2 linked regions of the Rattus norvegicus genome follow. The protein of the gene in region 2 purifies or fractionates together with the protein of the main gene of each other region. This does not show direct contact. Links are inferred from orthologs where the notes say so. Each region holds a gene or a part of one and is shown on either strand. Other genes may lie near its edges.

The links.
Region 1: the proteins of Psmb7 (region 2) and Psme3ip1 purify together in Homo sapiens (co-immunoprecipitation; 3 studies listed by BioGRID and IntAct, with this or other methods). This does not show direct contact. The link is inferred for Rattus norvegicus from reciprocal best matches to the Homo sapiens genes PSMB7 and PSME3IP1.

Annotation. Positions count from the first base shown.
Region 1 is NC_086037.1:10,406,356-10,410,351, forward strand, and holds the start of Psme3ip1 (PSME3-interacting protein), read left to right. Parts: upstream 1-1,196; 5' UTR 1,197-1,347; exon of another isoform or gene 1,348-1,656; intron 1,657-2,504; exon of another isoform or gene 2,505-2,707; intron 2,708-2,769; exon of another isoform or gene 2,770-3,996. UniProt on the Homo sapiens protein: Promotes the association of the proteasome activator complex subunit PSME3 with the 20S proteasome and regulates its activity.
Region 2 is NC_086021.1:42,813,971-42,817,470, forward strand, and holds part of Psmb7 (proteasome subunit beta type-7), read right to left. Parts: intron 2,302-3,500; coding exon 2,186-2,301; intron 1-2,185. UniProt on the Homo sapiens protein: Component of the 20S core proteasome complex involved in the proteolytic degradation of most intracellular proteins. This complex plays numerous essential roles within the cell by associating with different regulatory particles.

The DNA of each region.
Region 1 (3,996 bases), on a different chromosome or scaffold from region 2:
AGGCCAGAGGCAGCAGAATCCTTACTCTGGGACACCTGGTCAGACTCCAGAGTGAGGGAAGAACCCTGACTATTCCCGTTCCCGCCTACTATCCCTCGGGCTTTCCAGTAGAAAGGACTGACCAGAAAGCTCCCCTCCCCAAGGGTTTTTACTTAATATTTAGCTCAGGCCTGGAGAGTAGAAGAATCCGCTAGGTCTGGCCCTCACCTCCAGCCTCTCTCCAAGGCGAAGAACTCTCCACCCCAAGGCACCACCAGACCATCCCAGGGGAAGTCTGCTTCCCAGTGAAACGCAAACTCCCCAAAAGGAATCCCTGCCCACGGCGTGCGCCCCTCGACCCCTTCTTTCGGTTCCGGGAGCCCGAACGGGCATCCCTCCACGCCAGGAGCCTCCCCAGGGGGTACCTGCTTCTCACCTTAGCCGCAGTCTCCTCAGGAGGGTGACCCCAGGACCTCCTTCAGTCAAGATCCCCTAAAGGGGAACACCCTCTTCCAGGAACCGCTTTCAGGCGCCTCCAGCGCGGGCCTCGGAGGAGAGCGTTCCGGCTGCTTCCCAGGCTCTGACCAACGCCACCCTCTCCAAGACCACTGCCCGGAGACGGCCACGGCCCCAGTCCAGTCTCTCCGACCCAGGCTCCAGCGGCTGTTCTCTTCCCTCACAGGCGTCGCTAGCCCTCAAGCACCCTCCCCGGCCACGTCCCCAAGGGGCTTCCCAGAGCAGCACGGTCGGGCTATGGCACTGACTTTCACTAGCTCCGGGGCCCACCGGAGGGAGGGGACAGCGACAGCGGCGCGACTCCTTTGTGACAGGTCCAAGAGAGCGGTAAAGATGGACGCGAGGACACGGCACTGCCATTACGCGCAGGGCCCACCCCCGCTTCGCACCGCCCGGGCCCTCCCTCAGTCCCCTAGGAAACGCCCCTTCCTCGGTGGCAAGCCCTCTCTCTCAGACAGCCAATCATCGTTCAAGGCTCGTGTCACGTGATCTCGCGGTTCTGCCCGCCACCCTGGAATGAACTGGTTAATCCTTTTGCCGAAGGGTGAACGGCCCAATCAGATCTCTCCATACGGTCTCGAAGCACCGGATTTCCACGAGGCGCTCGGGGAGGGAGAGAGCTGTTGATTGGACGATGCCGCCGGAAGCGGGGTGCAAATGTGTTGTGGCTGTAAGGAACAGGAAGCCCCGAAGGGTCAAAAGGAATACAAAAGCAAAGTCTGTTTGCCTCCTTTAAGCCGTTGTTCTTTCTTGGTTTCTTTTCTATTTTTTTAAGAGCGAGTGGCCTAGGCGGCGACGGTTTGCGTTAGGCGCCGCGGAGGTGAGGGAGGCCCGCCTCCCGCGCTCTGGTAGGTGAGTGTGGCCTGGGTCCGCGCCGGGAGGCGAAACCAGGCTTCTCGGCCGAGGAGAGGGTGAACTACAGCCAGAGTTAGGATTAGGGCCCAGGTTTGTCTTCAGTCCTTGGTCCTTGCTAGTGCCCGGTGTCCTGAGTCGCCCGGCTTGGGAGTTCGCGGTGCCCACCCCGAGCGGAACCGCGGGAGTCTGCGAGATGGCGTGTTGGTCGTGGTGGGAGGTTCCGACACTTTCTTAACGCGCCAGAACTGCCGGGCCTCTTGTCTTCTTTCAGCACTGTTCTGTTAGCTTGGAGCCATCAGGCCTAAAGTGAGCTGCTGCTTCTGTTCCACTAGGAACAGCTCCTCTCGCCTTAGAAAACGTGGAATGCCCGATTGAAACTCGTTGAATCCCGGAGCGTAGTTGCAGGATGGGTACATCACAAGTTTCCCAGTTGCAGTGCCTCGCTCATTCTCTTCTAATAGGAAGCAAGGCTGTGTACCTGTTTTATTAGAACACGACCGGTGGTTGAAATGTCTTGAGAGTTGGTGCCCTCAATGCCAATCCACGCAGAGGGGAAAAGGGAGAACTATTGTTCGTGGGAGTGCTTCTTGGAGGACCACAAGATCTGTGGCCCTTAGTTTTAAAATGCAAACCCTGTGCTGCATCCTTCAGGTAGTCTGATTGTTATGTCTAAAGTGGAACCCACAAAGTCTAATATGAGCCTGTTTAGGATTTACAGCGATTTCTTGAGTGTCAAGCTGTGAGGCAAGTTTCGTGGGTTAATTGATTTATTGATGCGTCCCCAGAGACATAAAATAGTTTGGTGGAGCTCAGTGTAGTGACTTGTAATCCTAGGACCACAGAGGCGGGGTGTGTGTGTGTGTGTGTAGGGGATGGATGTCAGCTTCCATAGCAAGACTGCTAGAAAAGAAAGCAGAATAACTTACAAGCCAAACTGGCTTCTGAAATATTTGAAAGCAATCTGTAGAGCTTTCTACGACAGAAGGAACTGAGTTGAAATAAAGGCAGCTCCTTTGTTTCTGTTGGAGCCTAAGATGAGCTATGAATCTGAAAAGTCGGATGGCCCAATTATCTTTGAAGTCGAAGTCTTAATACCTTTAAGAGGAAATTCTTTCTGGTTTTTAAAAAGGAAGAATTATGCGAAGGCCATTTACCTGGTTTCATTCTTCATTGTGACCAAACGTTTGCTTAGAGACAGTCTTCAACTGCAGAAACTGAAAGCCACCCATACTTTGACGGTGAAGTAATTTAGCAGCATGATTCAACTGTGAACTTGGATATAGTGTAATAAGCTTGTATGGCAGCAGGATTAATCCGTTTCAATGTGTTCGCCTTTTTGACGTCTTCGTTCTTGAACGTGAGTGTTTCACCTTTGTTTCGCAGTTTCAGTTATGATGCTCTAACTCATGAGTTGTTTTTTGTTTTTTTTCAGTTGTCTTGGTATTTGAATTTTTTGATTGTTGTTTTCAGACAGTCTCTTGTAGCCAGTCTGGCCTTGGGTTTGATGTGTATGGAAAAGGAACCTTAAGCACCTGTTTTGTTTTGTTTCTCTCAGGTGTTCAAATTACAGGTGTACACTACATATGACAATATTAATTAGCCTTTTGACGTTGGAATAGTGATTCATTTTGGAAAATTCTAGTAACATATATTGATACATTTGACTGCTTCCACACACATTTTACATTTTCATTTTCACTCTGTCTCCAGCTGTTTTTGTTTGCTTGCTTTTTTTTTTTTTTTTTTTTTTTTTTTTTTTTTTTTTTGAGGCAGGGTCTTGCTATGTAGCCTAAGGTGTTCTAGAACCTTAGATTCCTAAGATTTTTTTTGGCTCTGCCTCTTTGCAGACTGGGCAGTTTTGTTCATTGATTCTCTTCTATTCCAACTCTTTTATTAAACAGTCATCTTTGGTGGGGAGGTGTTTGTTTTTTGAGACAGGATCTCTCTATTTAGCCCTGGCTCTCCTGGAACTGGCTATATAAACCAGGCTGACCTGGAACTCATAGAGATCCGCCTGCCTCTGCCTCCCCAGTTTTGGGAATAAAGGTGTGCTCCACTGTGTCTCCTCCTAAACACTGACATCTTAAATTCAATTATTGCAGGTCTTATTCCTGAAGTTTTTGTTTACTTTTTTCTAAAGATAAAAGTACATTGTAGCTTTCCTTCAGAAGAGGGCATCAGATCTTATTACAGATGGTTATGAGCCACCGTGTGGGATTTGAACTCAGGACCTCCAGAAGAGCAGTAAGTGCTCTTAACCAATAATTCATCTCTTCAGCCCTTTTATTTATATGAGTACTCTGTAGCTGTCTTCAGACACACCAAAAGAGAGCTATCAAATCCCATTATAGATGGTTGTGAGCCACCATGTGGGATTTGAACTCAGGACCTCTGGAAGAGCAGTAAGTGCACTTAACCACTGAGCCATCTCTTCAGCCCCTTGTTTACTTTTATAACTTTAAAAAAAGTTTTATATTTTTTGCTGTTAATTTCAAGGCTTGATTTTTATTTTAAACATTGTAAGTATATTTGTTGTGTGATCCATGTATTTAATTCCCATAGATTTGTTTTTCTTATCCATTATTCCCAAGGTTTTCTTATCTCCCTTCCCTTTCAAGGTATAGTTCTTGGGTACCAGTTTATGAT
Region 2 (3,500 bases):
AAAATAATGAAACCAAGCCTGGCATGGTGGCAGAGGCCTTCAATCCCGGCATTCCAAAAGCCAATCTCTTGGAGCTCAAGGCCAGCCTTGTCTGCACAGTGAGCTCCAGAATGGCCAGGGCTATGCAAAGACCCTGCTGTCTCAAGACCCCACCTATTTTAAGAGAAAATATGAAGCTGAGTCTGATGGCATAGTTTAATATTACTAGCTACTCAAAAGACTGAGGCAGCAGGATTACAAGTTGAAGGCCGGTCTAGGCTACAAAGTGAGTTCAAAGCCAAACCAAGCAACTTTGTAAGTAAGATAATGTCTCACAATAAGAAGAGGGCTGAGGCTTGGTACCTAACGCAGTGATAAAGCACTCACCATACTTGAGGCCCTGTGTTCAAACTCTGGTGCCACAAAAAAACAAAATAAAACTCTCCCTTTACTACCACTTCAAGGAATTAGAAGGGGAAAAATAAAAGTGCTTCAATAGAAAGACATTTTTAATAAATCACTTTAGAACAATCTTTAAATTATAGTATCTTCACCTTAAGATAATTATAAAGACCCAAATATATATGAAAGCATGGTCATGCACACCTACACTCCCCAACACTTGGGAAGTGGAGACACGAAGATCAGGAGCTCAAGGCCATAAAGAATTGAGGCCATCCTGAGCCATATGAAATCCTTTCTGAAACAGAAACATTAATTACAAAGACCCACTCATGCTGTAAGGTTGGTTTCCTAGCACGGAGGAAACATCTATTATAAAGCACCTTGTACAGGGATAGACCACACAATGGTACAACAAAGTCTCCAACTGGTAACTTTCAACTATGCAGAGAGACCATCTTCCCAGCTCCAGAGCCAAGACAGAAAGGTAAGACAGCAAACAGCAAGAAAAACAGCAACCACAGATAACCAGATTTACACAATTTGATTTGGAAATTTAATATAAATTTTCATTTGAAAATGTCAGTTTGTCTAAGGAAATTTTTACCACTCTCCAAAAATTTTAAAACAAAAGCAAACAAAAGGAGCAATTGGAGCTAAACCACAAACACAAAAGTCTGACCCAAAAAACATTGCAACTGTTGGTAGATCAGGCATTGGTTCAGATTTCCCCTGTGTACCGTGCCACTCACAACAGCCTGGTATCACTTGACACTTCACAGGGAGGAAACTAAGCTTCTCCACAGTCCAGTAAAAGGGACCCTGTCACTCTAACCTCATCAAAGGGCCTCTTGGGCTAATGAGATGGCTCAGCAGGTAAAAAGCACTTGCCACAAGTTTAGATGACCTGAGTGTGATCCCCAGAACCCACATAAAGAGAGTACTGACTCCATAAGTTGTCCTCTAACCACATGTGTGGCACATGTGTACCTGCCCACATAAATAAATGTAAGAAGTTAAAATGATTTAGAGACTTTCTATCAGTTCCAGCATGTTGAAAGGTGTGACTTCCACTCAGTCTTTCCACCTGCTTAGAGGGCTCTGTATACTTCAATATCACCTTTTCCCAGGACCTGCCCAAGCTTCCACTGCTTTCTGCCTGCCCACAACTCCCAGATCCTCTTAGGATATTCATAACCTTTTGTATTTAGATCATTGCAAATTCTCATATAGTTAGAAGTAACAAAGAGTTCCCATATATCCTTGGTCTGGTTTCTCCAAAGTAACACCTGATGTGACCACAGTTCAATATTACCTACACTAGTAGCCTTTAGCTGAGTATTTTTTTACTTCCTTACATTGCTATTAACATAGTTTTATAGTTGTTTATTGTCTGTGGGTATCTAATAAATAAATCCTTACAACCAAGAGTTTTTATCTAAATTTGTTCACTTAATTCTTTATCCAATTATATAAAAAATCTTTTTCTAAAGCCAACCAGACACAGTGGCACAGTCCTTTAATCTCAGCACTCAAGAAGCATAGGCAGGTGGATCTCTGTGAGTTCAAGGTCAGCCTGGTCTACAAAATGAGTTCCAAGACGGCCAGGGCTACATAGAAAAACCCTCTCTCAAACGCCACCCCCACACTGAATATATAGGTAGAAGTAACATGAATATATAGGCATATGCTGCTGACTAAGCAACATCACTAGAATGCACTGTTGCCTCCCTCAACGATGGAAATAGCTCTCTGAAAGGCCCATTTGTTTTCCAGTCTGAAACAAGAAAAACCTAACACTCACCCATGGTGACATAAGGCAGTTTATCAGTTGATCCATGCGGATAGATGCTGTAGAGATGAGGTCCAGTAACATCGACTCCCCCCAAAACTAGGGCTGCACCAATGTAACCTTGATACCTGGTGGTCAGAATAGACACAAGGGAAGAATTGAGTCCCGAGTCACTGTAGCTTATGCAAAAAGCTGCAGAAGTCAGACAAGGGTTTCCTTACATGTTTCACTAAGGAATTATTGCCTGCATAGGAACCAGGCAGGGAATTACAATCAGTTGAACGTCTACAATTAGCTACTGCAAACTGTGTGCAGTATACCACATGACTCACTTGAGATCTGACACACAGCCATCTTTTTAAAAGCACTATCAGTCCCATTTTAATAAAAAGGGGGTGGGGGGATAAAACAAAAGAAACACAAGACAAAAAGCTTAGAGACATAGAGAACTTGCTATTTCAAAGACTATCAGCACTGGATAATAAGCTACCAAGCTAGTGAATAGTGAGGAGCTGCTAAATTCAAGCCATACAGCTCTTCTAACAAGCAGTCTCAACACACAGTGGTTCATGTCACAACACCCTTTCCCTCTGAATAAACCCACCACATAATAATCACAGATGCTATTAAGTAAAACAGAAAACTGTTGCATCCTTCAGGACATGCGGAGCTCCATCATGACCTATGAAGCTGCTGTAACCAACAGAATAAGGTGTTGAGGAGCACAAACAAGAATGTTTCCCTCCATCTTCCCACCATGGAATATGCACTCAGGTCTTGGACATTTGTTGAACTCTTTACCTAGCTGGTGATCATTTCTATAGATCCCCGTCTCTAGATTGGCTCAGTTTTTCACCAAGACAAACTGCTTGGCTAAGATAAAACTGAACATGTTGGATTTAAAGTTTTCCACTCTAAACTTTTAGCTCTTTAAAAAGAAAACTGAAACCAACACAAACTTACTTGCCATGCCATGCACTAAAACACAAATGTAAGAGCAAAGCCATCAATCTGACTGGGAAGAGCTACACGACATCCAGAAGCACAACTGTGGCATCCAGGCACCAACTGCTGATAATTTTCCATGTTTAAAGTGAAAAACTCAAGAATTTTAGGAGCAACATGATGAGAAGCCAGAGATGGCTCAGCAGATAAGGTGCTTGCTGCCAAGCCTGATGAGTTGAGGTCCAATCCCCAAGACGTACATGGTGGAAAGGGAGAATCAACTCTTCTGTTATCCTCTGACTTCTCCACATGTGCATCACCACCACCACCACCAACACCAACAGACGCACTGATGCTCCTCTCTCTCTCTCTCTCTCTCTCT